Rhinolophus ferrumequinum: one gene and its partner. Each later gene encodes a partner of the first gene's protein in a complex. Links are inferred from orthologs where the notes say so. Each region holds a gene or a part of one and is shown in the gene's direction. Other genes may lie near its edges.

Region 1 (7,954 bases):
ATGCCCCTAGGTATTGATCATAGGTAAAGTATGGCAATTTCTTTAAGAATCCCCGAGTGAAAATCCTGCTAACTACTATAACACTCCTCTAGGCACCAAAAAGTACTATTTCCTGCTCATTTTGTTCCAAGAGACATGTGCTTTAAGAGAGCATGATCTCATAGAACTATAGAAACAAATGTTAGAGTGTGTATCAAGATGTCTAGGGCACCTCAAATGGTGGGGAGGATGCAGGCTTTTACTGCAGGTCTATGACATGTCTCACCCCACCACTTCTGGGGTCTGATGCTGAGAGAAAAGGAAGAAACATTGGGTCTACATTCCCGTATGGAAATTGCGGCCTGGAAAGGCTGTCCCCATTTAGTGGGGAATGTGCCCTCCAGTTCTCCCACGCTCCCACCTCTCTCTACTCAGGGAGGCTGACTTTCAGGTGCCATTTATTATCATGCTTGTGTAAACACTGGGTAAATGCCACCATTTCCCAATTTGTAGAAATGTGAAGATTTGCTGTTAAGAAATATTTCTCTGATCCCTATTCTCTATAAAAGTTAGGAAAATGGAGCTGATTCATGTACTTATATTACTACCTAGCCCCTGTAGGCATGAGTGTGAGCCAGAAATCTAGAATTTTGTGTGAAATCCCTTGATTTTAAGATGTTGCCCCACATCTTTCAAAAAAACTCTTTAGGAGTTAAAAGATCATCTTCAGGAGGGCATCTTACCATGGCTGGCATAGAAGGGTCAGTATTTTGGTGTTGTGGAAGCTTACAGCTTAAGGATAGTGGTGATGGAGAATGACTCTGAAGAGGCAGGTCAGAGCCCAGTAAAGAAAGGCCCTGTGGGTCGCGAAAGGTGTGTTGAATTCTGGGAAGAGCATTGCAAAGGTGTGAGATCAAATAAATGTATTATCCTGTCTCCAGTTCCAGGATGGTGGGGTTTATGCGAGGGACAGTTTGGAATATAGATCTTTCTGCCTCTTTTGGACCATTCTGTCCCATTTCTCACCTGCAGTCCCTAGATTACAGAGGGCAAGGCATGACCTGATAGGACCACCTTAGCCACTCCTCTCTATCTTGAAGCTATTATAGCACTGGAGGGATAAAGGCAAGCTTCTTTGGAGAGACGTCTGCTTCCCTCTACAAATCCGCCTCCCCCCCAACTTCTGGAGGGTATGGCCTTAAAAGGGCACAAGGAGAGCCCTAGTTATGTCCCCCCCACCCTCCTCACCAGCAGGAGTGGCGGGCCAAAGGAAGTCCATCATTTTTCCTCCAAGCGATTTCTGCTGTTCAGTGCCACCAATACACAGAAGCGTGAAATAGGGATACAGATTACAGCAACTTTCAAATTTTCCACCACTGCCCACAGTTGAGGCCACAGAAATACATTTTACATCAGTGCCATATAAAATATATATACAACTGAAGAAGTAAAAGTTTTGCAAAACAACACATACCCAAATACTATGTGCAAAAATGCACTGATATTCTCCACTCCATTCTCTCTTTTTGTCAACGTGGCCATCACACACTACATCAATTTCAAAACCCTCTAATGGGTTGCTAATTGAGTTGAAAAACACCTGCTTACAGTCTGAAGTCCATAAAACCAATATTTCCCGAAGAGTCTCTTATATTTCAGATGTATGAGTAATACCTATGCCTAAAGCCACTAGCAAACAATATAACTCTAAAAGAAACATGGAGATAATTTTTTTCTATTTTTTATTTAGTTACTAGTTTTCAGTTAGCTTCCATTTGGAAAGTTATCACTTTTCCAGTGATACTGATGTTTCACTTAAAGAAATGATTTTTTTTTTAGTTTTCTTTTAAATAAATGTATTTAAGTTTAAAAAGTGATTTAAAGAAAAATATATTACATAAGTAATAGTATAGGAAATAGGTATGTAAAAAAATCTCAAATATGTTACTCATGTTCTAAAGTGTGGGAAAACTATATTGCACCATTCCATAGTGAAGTAACAAGAAATCTATTTTCCTAAATATTAGATCTGCTTTTGTAGAATTTGCTAATTACTCCCAGGAAGTTTAGGTTACATGACACATTGGATTGCATTTGACTTTTCCCCAGCTGCCTCTTAAAACCAAGCCAGTGCTTTTTCCAAGCACCTGTTGGGCAGTTTTGAGTTCAGCATCCATTTGCAAAGTGATTTGTGCAGGTCTTGAGATGCTGGGGTTGCCTTCCCTTCTTCAGATCATCGCCTGGTCTTTCTTTCCCTGTCAGGTATTCAAGTTAATTATTTCTTATTTCTCTGAGTCTGTTCCTTATTCCCCTTCCCAGATGACCTCTACCCTCTCTCCACACCTTTTCTTGGCCACAGACTGGTAGCTATGCAGCAAACCCAGCCTGCCCTAGCCCACCCTCCAACAAGAGTCTTCTAGTTTACTCCAGAGTGTAGCAATCTCACAGCAAAACAATGTCAAATTGTCTGGAAAATCAGAAGTTACTTTTAGTCCCCTCTGCTTTTTAGTAACATTCTTCATTCTTTGTAACTTATTAAGCTTTTGTTCTCTTAGTCCCTGCCCCCTAAAGTACTGGGTGAGTCAATCTGCCCCAGTTGTTTTCTCTTTTTGACTGCTTGGGATCTCTGGCATGAGTTATACTGCCACACCTCTCAGGACTCCCACCTTGGGCTTGACTGTTGGGCTTGACATTCCTAGCAAACAATCTGTTGTTCATGCAACATTGTTTCTGCTGCTGCCCCATTCCCTTCCCTTCAAGGCCAGAGTTGGAGCTCTTCTATTGTCTTTAACAACTCAGGATGCTAAACTGAGATCAACTCTACCATATAGACGCCTCATGCATAGAAGCCACTCTGTTCTGTGGCCTTTGCTTCCTCTTCTCATGTCCCCAAATCTTCCCAAACTAGCCTTTTAAGGTCAGCTGGCCTTAATTTCTCCAAATTATTTTTCCAATCCTGTCTGAAGTTTTTTTTTTCTTTTCTGTTTTTCACCTATCTTCTTTTTTTTCTTTTTTTTTTTTTAATTTATTGGGGTGACAATTGTTAGTAAAATTACATAGATTTCAGGTGTGCAATTCTGTATCACATCATCCATAAATCACACTGTGTTCACCACCTAGAGTCAGCTCCCCTTCCATCACCATACATTTGATCCCCCTCACCCTCATCCCCCACCCCCCAACCCCTTTACCTTCTGGTAACCACCAAATTACGTTCCCCAGATTAATTTTCAAACCCGTGGCCATCCTGTGGTCACCGACTGCCCTCCAATCCCCTCACCCTCCCCCCCACCCCCCACCCCTCCCGCCCATCTAGCAACCCTGTTTTTCCTCATTGTCTCCAAAACTGTTTCTGATTAGTTCATTCACTTATTCTTTTCTTTAGAATCCGCAAATAAGTGAGATCATATGGTACTTATCTTTCTCTGTCTGACTTATTTCACTTAACATAATGTTCTCTAGGTCCATCCATGTTGTTGCAAATGGTAAGATTTCTTTCTTCTTTATGGCTGCATAATACTCCATTGTATAAATGTACCACAGTTTCTTAATCCAGTCATCTACTGATGGGCATTTTGGTTGTTTCCATGTCTTAGCTATTGTGTATAGTGCTGCAATAAACATAGGAGTGCATAAAGATTTTTGAATTGAAGTTTTGGATTTCTCCGGATCTGTCTGAAGTTTTGTCTCTTCTAATTCAGTCTTGTCTATTTTACTCATCATCCTTTCCCTGAGCCCCACCCAAGTTTTTCTCTACCCTTGTCTCCTGGAGAGCAAATGCCTGAACTCTTTAACATCTTTTACCTACTGTACAGCTTCCTGGCTATCTATTTCTGGACCACTACAAATTAATGTGTAAAAAGCCCTTACATTAACTGTGTGTGTGTGTGAGTGTGTGCGTGCATACATGCACACACATTCAAAGTGGGAGAAGGCATATAAACAAAATAGTGTCCAACACTATTTGGGGGGAGAAAAGAGCCTTAGAGAGTCCTAGCAGTTCTGATTAGTACATTGAGCATATTTCACCCTGCAACCCAAATTTGTATCTTTTTGAACACAGTTTAAACAAAGAAGAGCCTTGATGCTTATTGAGGATTTAGATAACTACTTCCCTGTTAAGATTTTTTTTTAATTGTGTTTTCATTATGACTCCATCTCCATTTATTGATCAAGGGATTTCTTGCCTCACTTAACTCCATAATCTGTTGCTCAGATTAAGAAAATGTGGAAACTATTGTTTGGTAGCATGAGTACAGACTTTAAAGTGCTACCTTGGAGGCTTGGATGATTCAAATACTGTAATCCAAGAAAAGCAACTAATTGATCACGCAGAACATGTTTTTATGCATTACTCTTTTTTATGGACTGCACATGCAATGAAACGAATTAGATTAAATGCTTTGTAGATGTGCTGTAATAGAAGCAGGAACTTACTCGTGTAGAAACATCCAACAGAAGCACTCAGACAAGAGATAGGAAATAAAACATGTAAAAAAGCCCTTAATGAACAATGTATGTCTTTATTCATTCCACACATTTTGAGCATCTATTATGTTCTTTTTGTACATAAGAAACAATGCTAGTAATAATAACTTCTCAGTTAAGAGAAGCAGAAAAATGTTCCTTATTTTAGTATTTCCTTTCTTGCATCACTACTACCTAGTATATAGACAGCTGTGCATGTGTGCTTTTTGGATGAATGCGAGACCTGTACATTCACTGTTTACCTTCTACCCTCCACTTTGCCTGCCACCTTGTTCGCCATTTTATTCCTCATTAATTCTTCCTCCTGAGGGCTAACTGGGAAGGAAAGGAGGTGAACTTCAGGTCAGTCAGGCATGCTTCGCTTCCAAAGCAGTTAAATCTCAGTGCAATAAACTTTAAAGACCTGTCTAAATTCTTTTGTGTCATTTAAGATTTTGTTCCATCCAACTGATTGAACAGGCCTGCCAATCAAAACTTGGACATCCTTGTGATTGATATATTGGTTAATAGTTGTAACAGTGTCTGACCTACCTCCGGAAAATTTTGTAGTAAGTTAAGAGTCTGTCTAAAAAAACGAAGGAACTCTAAGTTGCTCAGTACTTATTACATGAGAAACTCAACTGTGTGGTTTACATCGCTTATCTTTTATGGTTTACAATTACCAAAAAAAGTAGATACTATTTTATAGATGTGGAAACTGAGGCTCACTCTGAGTAGTCCGTCAGTTTGTAAAGAAAAACCCTGGCTAACAGTCTCCAAAGCACAGGCCATTTACAAAGGAGGACTGGAGATTGCTGGTGGCTTTCACTTATCTATGCTGTCCACACTTAAACATGGGTAATTGAAACCCGACCCTATGTTCCTTTCCAAAATCTCCAAGGAATCTGGCTGCAGAGACTTCATAGATAACTCCTTTCAGCAGCTGAGAAACAAAATACTTCTGTGGAATAAAAAGTCTTTATTTCAATGGGTTTTTTTCCTTCTTAAAAAAAAGAAAGAGAATCCACTACAGCACTTAACAAGAATATTAACAGAATGGACAAGTCTTCAAATCTGGCTGTGCAGACTACGGAGGAAATGGTGGCAGCATTAGGGCACTTTGGCCTAAGATGCTAAAGACACAATGTAATGAACAGCTGGGGATTTCAGAGACACGATTGTGAGACACAGAAAACCCAATTGTAGGCCATCCTCACTAAAGGTAGCTGCAGGGCTGGGGTTGCTTCTGCAAACCTCGCCCCTCGCTCTCGATCAGGCGGGTGTCGCCAGCTGCCGCAGCGCCCACGGCGGCCCACGCCTTCCTGCCCCCAAGGACCAGCCAAGGCTGACGCCGCGGGGACTCGGCAGCGCGCCCCCATCCTCTGCACACGTGACGGCGGGGCAGTTTTCCTTCTCCCCTCCCCCTTCCCGAAACCCCTCCTTCTCCTGAGAGGCTGCGGCTCTCTATTGCGCTACTACAGCAATGACCGCCGTGCCAGCCAATCAGAACGCGACTCTTCAAGTAAGACCCGCCCCCTGATGGTCCTCAGGTTCCTTCCCGCTCACACAGGAGTCACTTCCGAAGAAAGAGAACCGCCATGAAGAGAGCCGGGGGTGCCGCCCACCTCCGCTCCGACAGCCTCCCGGAGTCCCAGCAGCAAGACGGCAACCACGCACCCAACTTCTCCAGCCACAGCTCATGCCGCCGTCGCCAGCGGCGCCGACATGACAAGGCGCTGCATGCTCACTAGACCAGGTTTCCCCTCATCCCCAGCCCCGGGGTCGTCGCCCCCGCGCTGTCATCTGAGACCGGGTAGTACCGTCCCTGCTGCAGCGGGAAAGAGAACACAGAGTCCTGGGGAAAGGTACCGTGCGGAGGGCTTGAGAAGGGGCCGGGTCGCGGGGGCAAGGGTATGAGGGAGGATTGCAGACGGCCGCTCTTCCAGCTCCCGCCATCCTCCGCGAGCTCAGGCCTCTGTTTTCCGGGGCCTGGCAAACCCCCGCCCCGCCTTCGCGCGGGGGCTCCTGGGAGTTCGAGTTTTCTTCTCTGTAGTTGGGACGCTGTCCTCGGTCTAGTGACCACCTCCGAGGTGGCTAGGGAGATCCCGCCTTAGGTAGAACGTAATTTTTGTCCTTTACGATAGCTGGACCCGGGGCCCTAACCGGTTAATGCATATTTACGTGGTTTCTGTTGTCAGTTTTACTGATCCTAGTGGTTTAATAGTACAAATCTTTCTGTCGTGTGGGTGAAATTATGTAAGATGTGATGAGGAAAACCCTTCCACTACTTTATAGTTCAATATACACGGTAATTCATACTTGAAAAAACATGTATATTTGGCGTGTGATATGTTTTCTCCAGTAACTTTACTTCTCGCCAAGAGGCCAGTTACTATGTAAACATTTTGTGGGAGCCTATGTGATGAGATGGGGAGTTCCTCAAATGACATCCTCTGACAATAAAACGTATTTACATTCTCTACACACTTGGTACTGTCTTTTTTATTTTAAGTTTAAAAGCTTGTAACATAAGTTTAACAGTAAATTTATCTTCTAACATTGTGGTACAGATCCACAATCCCTTGTCTTATTTCGGAAAGTCAGAAAGGTATGAAAACCCAAAGTTTTCAATAGGTTTGGCACCACATCTTACTTGGCAGCCAAACGTGACTCGAATTAATGGAAGCTGTATAAGGTCTTTATCCCATTAAGTGTAAGTATTCATAAGTTTTGCTGGAGAAATATTAATGAGCTTGCTTACAGAGTTCAGTGTCAGACCCCACTGGGGGGCTTTACATATTGCATCCAAGTTACCCCCTTTCTAAAATCTAGTACGTTCAGCGAATTAACATACATTTGGCCGCAAAAGTTTCAGATAAGGATTTGTGAGCTGTTAGTTTGTGAGTTTTTGTATTAGTGTATGTGCTGTCAAAGCGAGCATAAGTTTTTTAACTAGTTATAAATAAGTAATAAACATTTCTGTGCATATGAACGTAGCAAACGGTTCTTTCTTGAAAGTTACATTCATAGTTTACAAATTTCTTGTATGTTTACTCAAAACCATTTTCTCTTGTATATTTCTTGAAAAGGAGCCAGGGATCAATATTTTAGGGAAGAGATATAGTGTTACTTTTCGTAATTAATGTAAAAGCATTTAATATTGTTTTGAATTCATTAACTGCTTCTTAATCCTGTGCCATCTCTCTTTCCTCAACCAATAACTGAAGGCATCATCCTGTGCTTTACAGAACCTCTAACATTTCTTTCTTTACTCTCCTGTCGTGGAATTAATTTGCCTGATATAATTTATGAAACCAAATGCATAGATTCTTCCATCACTCATATTCATTTAATAACCACTTAGCTTTTCTACCAACATCTCAAACAAACATTGTAAACTCTCAGTAAACCATTAAAGATGGGCATTACTCTTTTAATGTGGCCAGTAAAGTGGACAAGATTTAGAAACTTAACCTTCAAGGGTCTTGGATTGTTCCAAGTTTTCTCT
Region 2 (7,811 bases), on another chromosome or scaffold:
TACAGTTAGCTGAATAAATTATCCAAGCAATGTAATACTTTGCTCAATAAGTTAGTTATACAAATTCTAGTAACATCTATTGAAAAAGATGAACAGCCTAGGAGAAAATATAGTGAATGTGTATGAACAAAAAAACTACAAAGGGCCAAAGAGCATTTTAAAAGTATCTCAACTTTGTTCGTAATAAATGGAAATCAGAACAAGATACACCAATTTCAATTTCTTTGATTGGCAACAATTAAAGTTTGATAACCAATGCTTGTAGAATTTTGGGAAACAAGCACTCTCAACACTTTGTTGGAATGCTGTTTGGTGTTAACTCTCTAGATGACAATTTGGTAATTTCTATCAACACATAAAACACGTACACCCTTTAACCCAGTCCCCGAGGCTTAAGGATTTCTCTGCGGAGATTTGCTAGCAAGATTTGTTAAGTTTAATAACAAAAAGATTCTTGTAGCATGATTGGTAATAGTAAAATCAAAACCACACAACAAACAAACAAAACCCTAGAAACAAAATATCCATCGTGGGGAACTGATTAAATAAATTGCTGCACATCCTAACTAACAACTTTTTTATGCAGGAGTTACAAAGATACAGTTATCTTGCAGTTATGGAACAATCCCCAAGATATATCAACTGAAAAAAAGCAAAGTAAATAACTGTGTATAGTGTGATCTTTCTTGTGTTAAAAACAAACAAAAAAGAGAAAGATACAAAAGAAGAAATAAGTATACACGGTATATAGTAATTTTGTATGTTTTGAAGCATTCACAAGAAACTATTTATTTGGGTATTTAGGTACTTGGTATTTAGCCTTCGGAAAGCTAAATTTCTTATCTTTTTTGTAATTTTTTTGTAGCATGAATTTTCTAATCTCATAGATATGTTTCTTTTAGTTTTACAAACTGTTCATTGTAGGAATCAGGGATAGGAAAACATGATGTTTCTTTTGCTTGCTTCTTTGTGCTTTTCTATAATACAAGAAGAGCTAATGTCATACTATTTTAAGAATATTATTACAAGCCAATAAAATGGATAATATAGACAATGTAGGCCTATATTCACTGACACAGAAAACTGTAAAGTCATGGTTTTTAATGTAAGAAAGCCAGTTGCAATACAACGAGCATGATATGATGCCACTTACATAAAATGATGGACATATTTGTACCTGCGGGTTTTGACTACTGAGAGATGAATGGAAAGAGGCTATCAGAGTGTGATGTGGTTGTACACTCTGCTTTGTAACCACTCTGAATTGCTTTCATTTTCTCAAACCGAGGATGCATCATCTTTGAACATAAAGGATAAAAAAAATGTTTTACAAAAATTTTGACATCTACTTGATATCTCGGCAAACTAGAAGCTGGGAGGGAAAAGGGGAAAAGGATAAGAAAATGATCTAAATAAAGTTATGTACACTTAGAGGCCCCCTACAAAAGCAGTCCAGAACAGCTAGGAGGGTCCTGAAACTGGAAGATTGTGCCTGGAATGCAGCAGAAGGGACTGTGTTCCCTAGTGGAGGGAGAAACCTGAGCTGGCTAGCTTTGGCACAAATAAAAGCGGGTCTGCAGGCACCGACACTGCCATATAATGAAAACAAGAAAAATGAAAGAAAAAAACCTTTCAAAGTTGTATATCCACCCCAAAATCCCCATTAATAAGGCAGGAAACCGAATTGCTTGGAACACTTTCACTGCCAATGATGGTTTCAAATTTCTATATGAAAGCAGACTTACCTTTTGGATATAGCTAAAAACATACGTCATTCTGACCAGTACTTCTGAATACAGATAAATATATAGAAAAGCTCTAGGAGTAAATACGGAAGCACTGAAGAAGGGAAACAGGGGTCAGGATGGAGGAGGTGGTCAAGGGGCCTTTTAACCTGATCTATAATGTTTCAATTTGTTAATAAAAGAAAAACATCCACATATCTCTGTTGTGGTAAAATGTACCATTATAATCATTTTTACATGTACAATTCAGTGGTACTAATAGTCACAGTTTTGTACAACCTTCATGACGATCCATTCCCAGACTACTCTTCATCATCCCAAATGGAAACTTTGTCCATGAAATAACTCCCTATTCTGCCTTCCTCCAAACCCTGATAACCTCTATTCTACTTTCTATTTCGATGAATTTTCCTTTTCTAGGTACTTCAGATAAGGAGAATCATACAAATCATCAGCATAAGAATTATCATGAAGGCCATGGGAATAGTTGAGATTGTGTGTGGAGGTGGCCTATGTCAGGACTCTGAGGAATATCAAGACCTAAGGAGTGGAGAGAGGAGCAGGAATCAGCTAAGGAGACTAAAAAGAAGCACACAGGGAGTCAAATAGACTCAGTGTTTAATGGCATTTGGAGAAGACAACGCCTGAATCCCTTCACAGCAAGGATGGTTTCAGCCATTCTGAAATCTGTTGGCCATAGACTCCCTGCCCCCCAGACCAGTGGTTTTCAATGAGTGGTCCCCAGAAAAGCAGTATGGACCTCACCTGGGAACTTGTGAGAAATGCAAAATTTTGGGCCCCACCTCATGCGTACTAAATCAGAAACTCTGGGGTGGCACCCAGCAATCTGTTTTAACAAGCCTTCTGGGTGATTCTGATACTCAGTAAAGTTTGAGGATCACAGCACTAGACAATGCTTAGACAGTGGCTAATAACCATCCCTTAGGAACCAACCCCTTTTCTAATAAACACATTTTCCTTTGAATCTGTTAATCCATTTTACTAAGTTGCTGGAGCCTGAGAGGTAGGATTTCGTCAATACCCCACATTTATTGTAACACAGATCCTATTTTGATTTTAATGTTCCTGTCCTACGTCAACTACCTACTGCTGCTCCCTCTACCGGGTATATCTTTTTCCATCTTTATAACTTTGCTCATTCATAACATCTAATCATTTATGGCATCTGCTACCTCATGGCTACTCTGTGCATTTTTTTCAGTTTCTGATCCTGCTCCAAACTGAACAAGTCTCCATCTCACAGTTTAAATCCCTGAGTGTATAGAGCACATAAACAAAGTTGTTGTTGCATTGAAATTTGCAAAACAACTACCGTAGGGCCGGACCGGTGGCTCAGGCAGTTGGAGCTCCGTGCTTCTAACTCCGAAGGCTGCCTGTTCGATTCCCACATGGGCCAGTGGGCTCTCAACCACAAGGCTGCCAGTTGAACAACTCGAGTCCCGCAAGGGATGGTGGGCTGCGCCCCCTGCAACTAGCAACAGCAACTGGACCTGGAGCTGAGCTGCGCCCTCCACAACTAAGACTGAAAGGACAACAACTTGACTTGGAAAAAGTCCTGGAAGTACACACTGTTCCCCAATAAAGTCCTGTTCCCCTTCCCCAATAAAAATCTGAAGAAAAAAAACCAAAAAAACAACTACTGTGTTTCCCCAAAAATAAGACCTAGCTGGACCATCAGCTCTAACGCATCTTTTGGAGCAAAAATTAATATAAGACCTGGTATCATATCATCTCATCTCATCTCATCTCATATTAGTTGTGAGACTGATGAAAGTGAAAGTAAACATGTTTATGTTTATGTGTGAAACTGAGCATAACAAAATTGAGTGTCACCAAAACGACTTCTGGTTATCACATAAGAAGTAAACAAGTCCAAGGAAAAGAGGATGAAGGCAGAACTCCAGAGCGATGCTGTGAGCAGTCTGACTGGGCGCTGCGGCTCAGACCCTCCGCGAGGTGCCAGCCCCGATACCAGGACTCTCCGAAGTTCTTCTTTGCAAGACCAGCTCGCCTCAGACCCACCATGGGCGCAGTCACCTCTCCCAGACCAATAACCTTCTCCACCTCGATTGACTCTGGGACTTGGTTTGTCATTAAATTCTATTTTATCTCGGATAACCTGTGGTGCTTACCAGAGCACTGGCCTGGGAGGGGCATTGGTTCCCAAATAAAGTTGTGTTACTCACTCTATCTGAACCTGTGTGTCTGGCCTTTGTTCCCCACTCAGGTCACAAGTACCAAGCAGGGATGTAGGACTCTGCCAAGGGGTTAATGTCCCCTTGACTTTCAGTAAGAGACTGAAATGTGGCAACTGCACTTCCAGGCGCTTGCAACACGGAGTGACATGGATTGTTGCTGAAACTGCAAGTTGGCACAATTTAGGAGAGTAATCTGGCATAATTATCGAAACAACAGAAACATTTCATTTCACCCAGTAATTCCACTTGGAGGAATTTATCCTACAGATGTACTTGCACACGTGCACAGCGAAGTGGGGCCTCTCTCCCCAGGCGCAGGCCGAGGCTAGGCCCGCCCCCGCCTCAGCCCCAGGCCAGGGATCCCCCCTGTCCCCACCCCCCGGCAGTCAGTCGGGGGCCCTCCCCCCTCAGCCCCAGGCCAGGCCTCCCCCCCGCCAGCCCCTCCGGATCAGTCAGCGATCCGTGTGGCTTGTCACACCTCTTCACATGAGTCAATCGGAAGCAGTTGGGGAAGCCCTCGCAGCTGCAGTGTCTCGCACGCCCGCCCCCAACAGCGGCCCAAACCAGCTGCAACTCGGTTTTCTCTTTTTTCTTCTCTTCAGAAAGGGAGGACGAGTGCCACCGCCAAGCTCAGTGACCACGGCCTTGAACCTCCGTGCGCAGCCCGCGGCCCGCGGCCTTGGGGGCGGGGCTCGGGGTGGGCACGGGGCGGGGCTCGGGGCGGGGCTGGGGCGGGAAGGGCGGGGCCTGCGGGGTGATGGCCAGGTTTGTCGCCACCGCCGCCGCCTCGGCAACAGGAACCGAGTCGCCGCTGCCACTGCCGCCTGGGTCGCCGGCCACCTGCGCGCTGGCTGCGCGGGGTCCGCAGCCATGGATGATTTTATCGTGATCTCGGACGACAGCGGCTCCGAGAGCTCCGAGGGGACCCGCTCGGGCCGGGCGCGGCGGCTCCGCCGGGCCCTGTCCCGGACCTCCGGTGCGCTGTCCCGCCGGACCGTGGTGAGTGAGCGAGCCGCTGCAGCCGCAGCGCCGCCTCCGCTCGGGCCGCGCAGCTTTGCGACCCTCGGCCCGGGCCACTGTCCCCGGCGCCCCCACCGCCTGCCCGTGGCGTCTCACAGCAACAGCCGCTTCCCGCCTTGCCGCCTTTCGGGCCACTCGGGCCGGGTAGAGCGCGGCGGGCCCCGGCGGGGGCGGCCAGGCCTCTGGCTCCGCGCTCAAGCCCGAGTGGGCCGAGGCTGGAGAGCCGCAGCGGAGCACATGGGCGAAGTCCAGGCGCGCCGGGGGTGGGGACCTCCAGAGCCCACAGCAGGCGGCGGGATCAGGCCGGGCCGGGGGCTTCCCCGGGCCTAGGGGTGCAAGGGGACAGAGGGGCTTGGGGGGAGCCCCCGACTTCGAGGCCGAGACGCGGGAGCGTGTAATTGTTTGGCTTGTGGTGGGTACAGATGTGTGCAGGGAGGTAACAGGAGCCCGGGCTGGGAGGAAGGGAGGGAATTGCGGGCCTGGGCCAGATGGTGGCCCTGCTCCAGGGCCTGGCGGCCGAGCGAGGGGCCCGATTTTGGAGTTGTTCAGGAGGGTGATTTATATCGCTTAGCAAACATTTACCAAGCTCTAAAGGAAGGGAAACATCTTGCACTAGTTCTTTTTCCCTTGGGCTCCAGGTCTTTGTCCTTGCTAAGATGGTAAATAAAACATCTATGGTCTCTGCCTTTCTAGAATCCTCCACAGATATTTATTGGGCCACTACAATGGGCCAGATGTTTCAGAGGCTGGGGATACCATGGAGAACACAACATCCGTGGTCCCTCTCATAGAAGGTGATATATTCAACAAGTGGCTATTGAGTTCTCAAGGGGTGGGAGATGTACAGGCTTTCTATCAGAAGACTTTCAATATCAGACTTCCGGTACCCTTCCCAGCCTCCCAAAGCCGTACCCCAGAAATAGAGGAATGACCGTGCTTACTTTATAGAACTGTAACATACCGTTAAAGGAAAACGCCTTTCTTCATATGCAAATATTCCTTCAAGACAAATCTAACTTCTGCTCCTCCAATCCCCTTCCCAGACAGTTTGGTCCCTAAGCCTCCACGGTGAGCCCCTTCTGTGCCCCAGGTATAGTGGCCACTACAGAATGAATGGCATGCAAAAGAAATTAACATATAGTGCTTTGTTGCCAGGGTTCAAGCAAGAGAGGTTGTCAATAAATCTCAGTAAAGAATTTAGATGAGATAGAAAAGATTTTCAAGGTAAAAGTGATTCAGCTGGTAAGTGAATGGATGTACCTAGTGCTGTGACAGTGTTGTAAGACATAGTAGGTCCACAACAAATATTTGTTGGGCGAAAGAATGATTGAAGGAATGAATGGGGGAGAGAGAGCAGTTCTGGTGGATGTTGGATAAGTGAAAGCGGGTACAAGAGTAGTCGCAGACTTGGAGTGAAGGAGATGCTGAGTTCAGCCTGGACCTACTGGATTTAAAGTGCTAATGGGAAATGTACATACATGGGTGTGGCCCGCCCAGAGACACTGATCTCCAGAGAAAAGTCAGGACGGGGAGAGACTTGGTAATCACCGAAGTAGAAAGCATCAAAGGCCTAATAGTGACAGTTCATCAAAGAGTACAGAGAGGGAAAAGGTGGAAGGAAAAAAGACCGCAGAAGAACTCACAGCTGCCTTTGCTCCTGGCTCCTCCTGTTTCCCGCTGCCCCTTCTTTCAGCCCCCCTTGAACATGCTCCTCCCTGCCTGCTTCCTTCTGTGCCAGCTCTTGTCCCTTTCCCCTTATCCTACCTAGTCCAGCTTCCTTCTTCAAGAGCACAGATGTCATCCTTAGCCCAGTCTGTGTGTCTGTGGTGGCCCTTCACTGTAAGTGGGTGCACTCTCAAACTGCTCCCGCCTCATGACCACCCACCCAAAGCATTTTGATCTTGAGCCTTCTGAGTGGAAGAGAAATGAGGGCAAGTTGTAGAGAGTAGTACCCAATTTAAATCTTGTTTCCCCAGATATTCTTACTCTTTTCTAAAAAAAAATCCAAGCTTTTCTCCTTTTATCTTTCTTGCAAATTAGATAGGGTGATAGGATAACCATGTAAAAGTTCAGGGGCGTTGAGAGACTTGCCTATATGGAGATGTAATTTCATACCGTACATAAAATTCACCCATAGAATTCCCTGACTTGTACAGCCATCACCACTACCTAATTTTAGAACATTTTCTTCACTCCAGAAGGAAACCCTGTATCCTCCAATAGGCTCTCTGGCTTTTTTTTAGGTACACAATCATATCATTTGAAAAATAAAATTACCCCATTTTAAATTATAAAAAATATTTTTAAATTATAAACAGAGGAAATAGGGGTCGGCCCAGGGGCTCAGGCGGTTGGAACTCTGTGCTCCTAACACCGAAGGCTGCCGGTTCGATTCCCACAGGGGCCAGTGGGCTCTCAACCACAAGGTTGCCTGTCCGATTCCTCAACTCCCGCAAGGGATGGTGGGCTGCGTGTCCTGCAACTAACAACGGCAACTGGACCTGGAGCTGAGCTGTGCCCTCCACAACTAAGATTGAAAGGACAACAATTTGACTTGGAAAAAAGTCCTGGAAGTACACACTGTTCCCCAATAAAGTCCTGTTCCCCTTCCCCAATAAAATCTTGAAATAAATAAACAAACAAACAAACAAACAAACAGAGGAAATAATTCAGGCAATCAGTAAGAACTCACCCATGTCCATTCCCACTCTCCAGGGATAACTAACAGTTTTTGTGTATTGTTCCAGAAGTTTTCTGTGTGTATACACAAAAATACATTAATGTCTAATTTTTTTCCCAATTGAGTCTTACTTTTTTAACCACTTCA

The links. Proteins that work in one complex are often made in the same cells at the same time.
Region 2: the proteins of SLF2 (region 1) and SIMC1 are in contact, whole or in part, in a cryo-EM structure (PDB 7T5P), measured with the Homo sapiens proteins. The link is inferred for Rhinolophus ferrumequinum from reciprocal best matches to the Homo sapiens genes SLF2 and SIMC1. Residues at the interface, in NP_060591.3 of Homo sapiens: His738, Val772, Leu775, Lys778, Asp783, Phe786, Gln790, Gly791, Phe792, Thr794, Ser795, Ala796, Tyr797, His798, Tyr799, Cys820, Ile821, Gln825, Ser828, Met831, Glu832, Ile835, Arg836, Asp838, Thr839, Ser841, Asp842, Ser843, Pro847, Lys919; in NP_001295125.1 of Homo sapiens: Tyr426, Arg428, Leu431, Lys435, Leu438, Pro440, Val442, His443, His444, Leu445, Phe447, Gln448, Arg470, Arg471, Phe490, Asp493, Pro497, Val521, Asp522, Lys525, Glu526, Tyr528, Met529, Met532, Lys533, Gln536, Leu537, Arg571, Asn658, Gln661.

Annotation. Positions count from the first base shown.
Region 1 is NC_046299.1:23,760,089-23,768,042, reverse strand, and holds the start of SLF2 (SMC5-SMC6 complex localization factor protein 2), read left to right. Parts: upstream 1-4,923; 5' UTR 4,924-6,171; coding exon 6,172-6,311; intron 6,312-7,954. UniProt on the Homo sapiens protein: Plays a role in the DNA damage response (DDR) pathway by regulating postreplication repair of UV-damaged DNA and genomic stability maintenance.
Region 2 is NC_046307.1:40,258,298-40,266,108, forward strand, and holds the start of SIMC1 (SUMO-interacting motif-containing protein 1), read left to right. Parts: upstream 1-4,711; 5' UTR 4,712-4,834; coding exon 4,835-4,963; intron 4,964-7,811.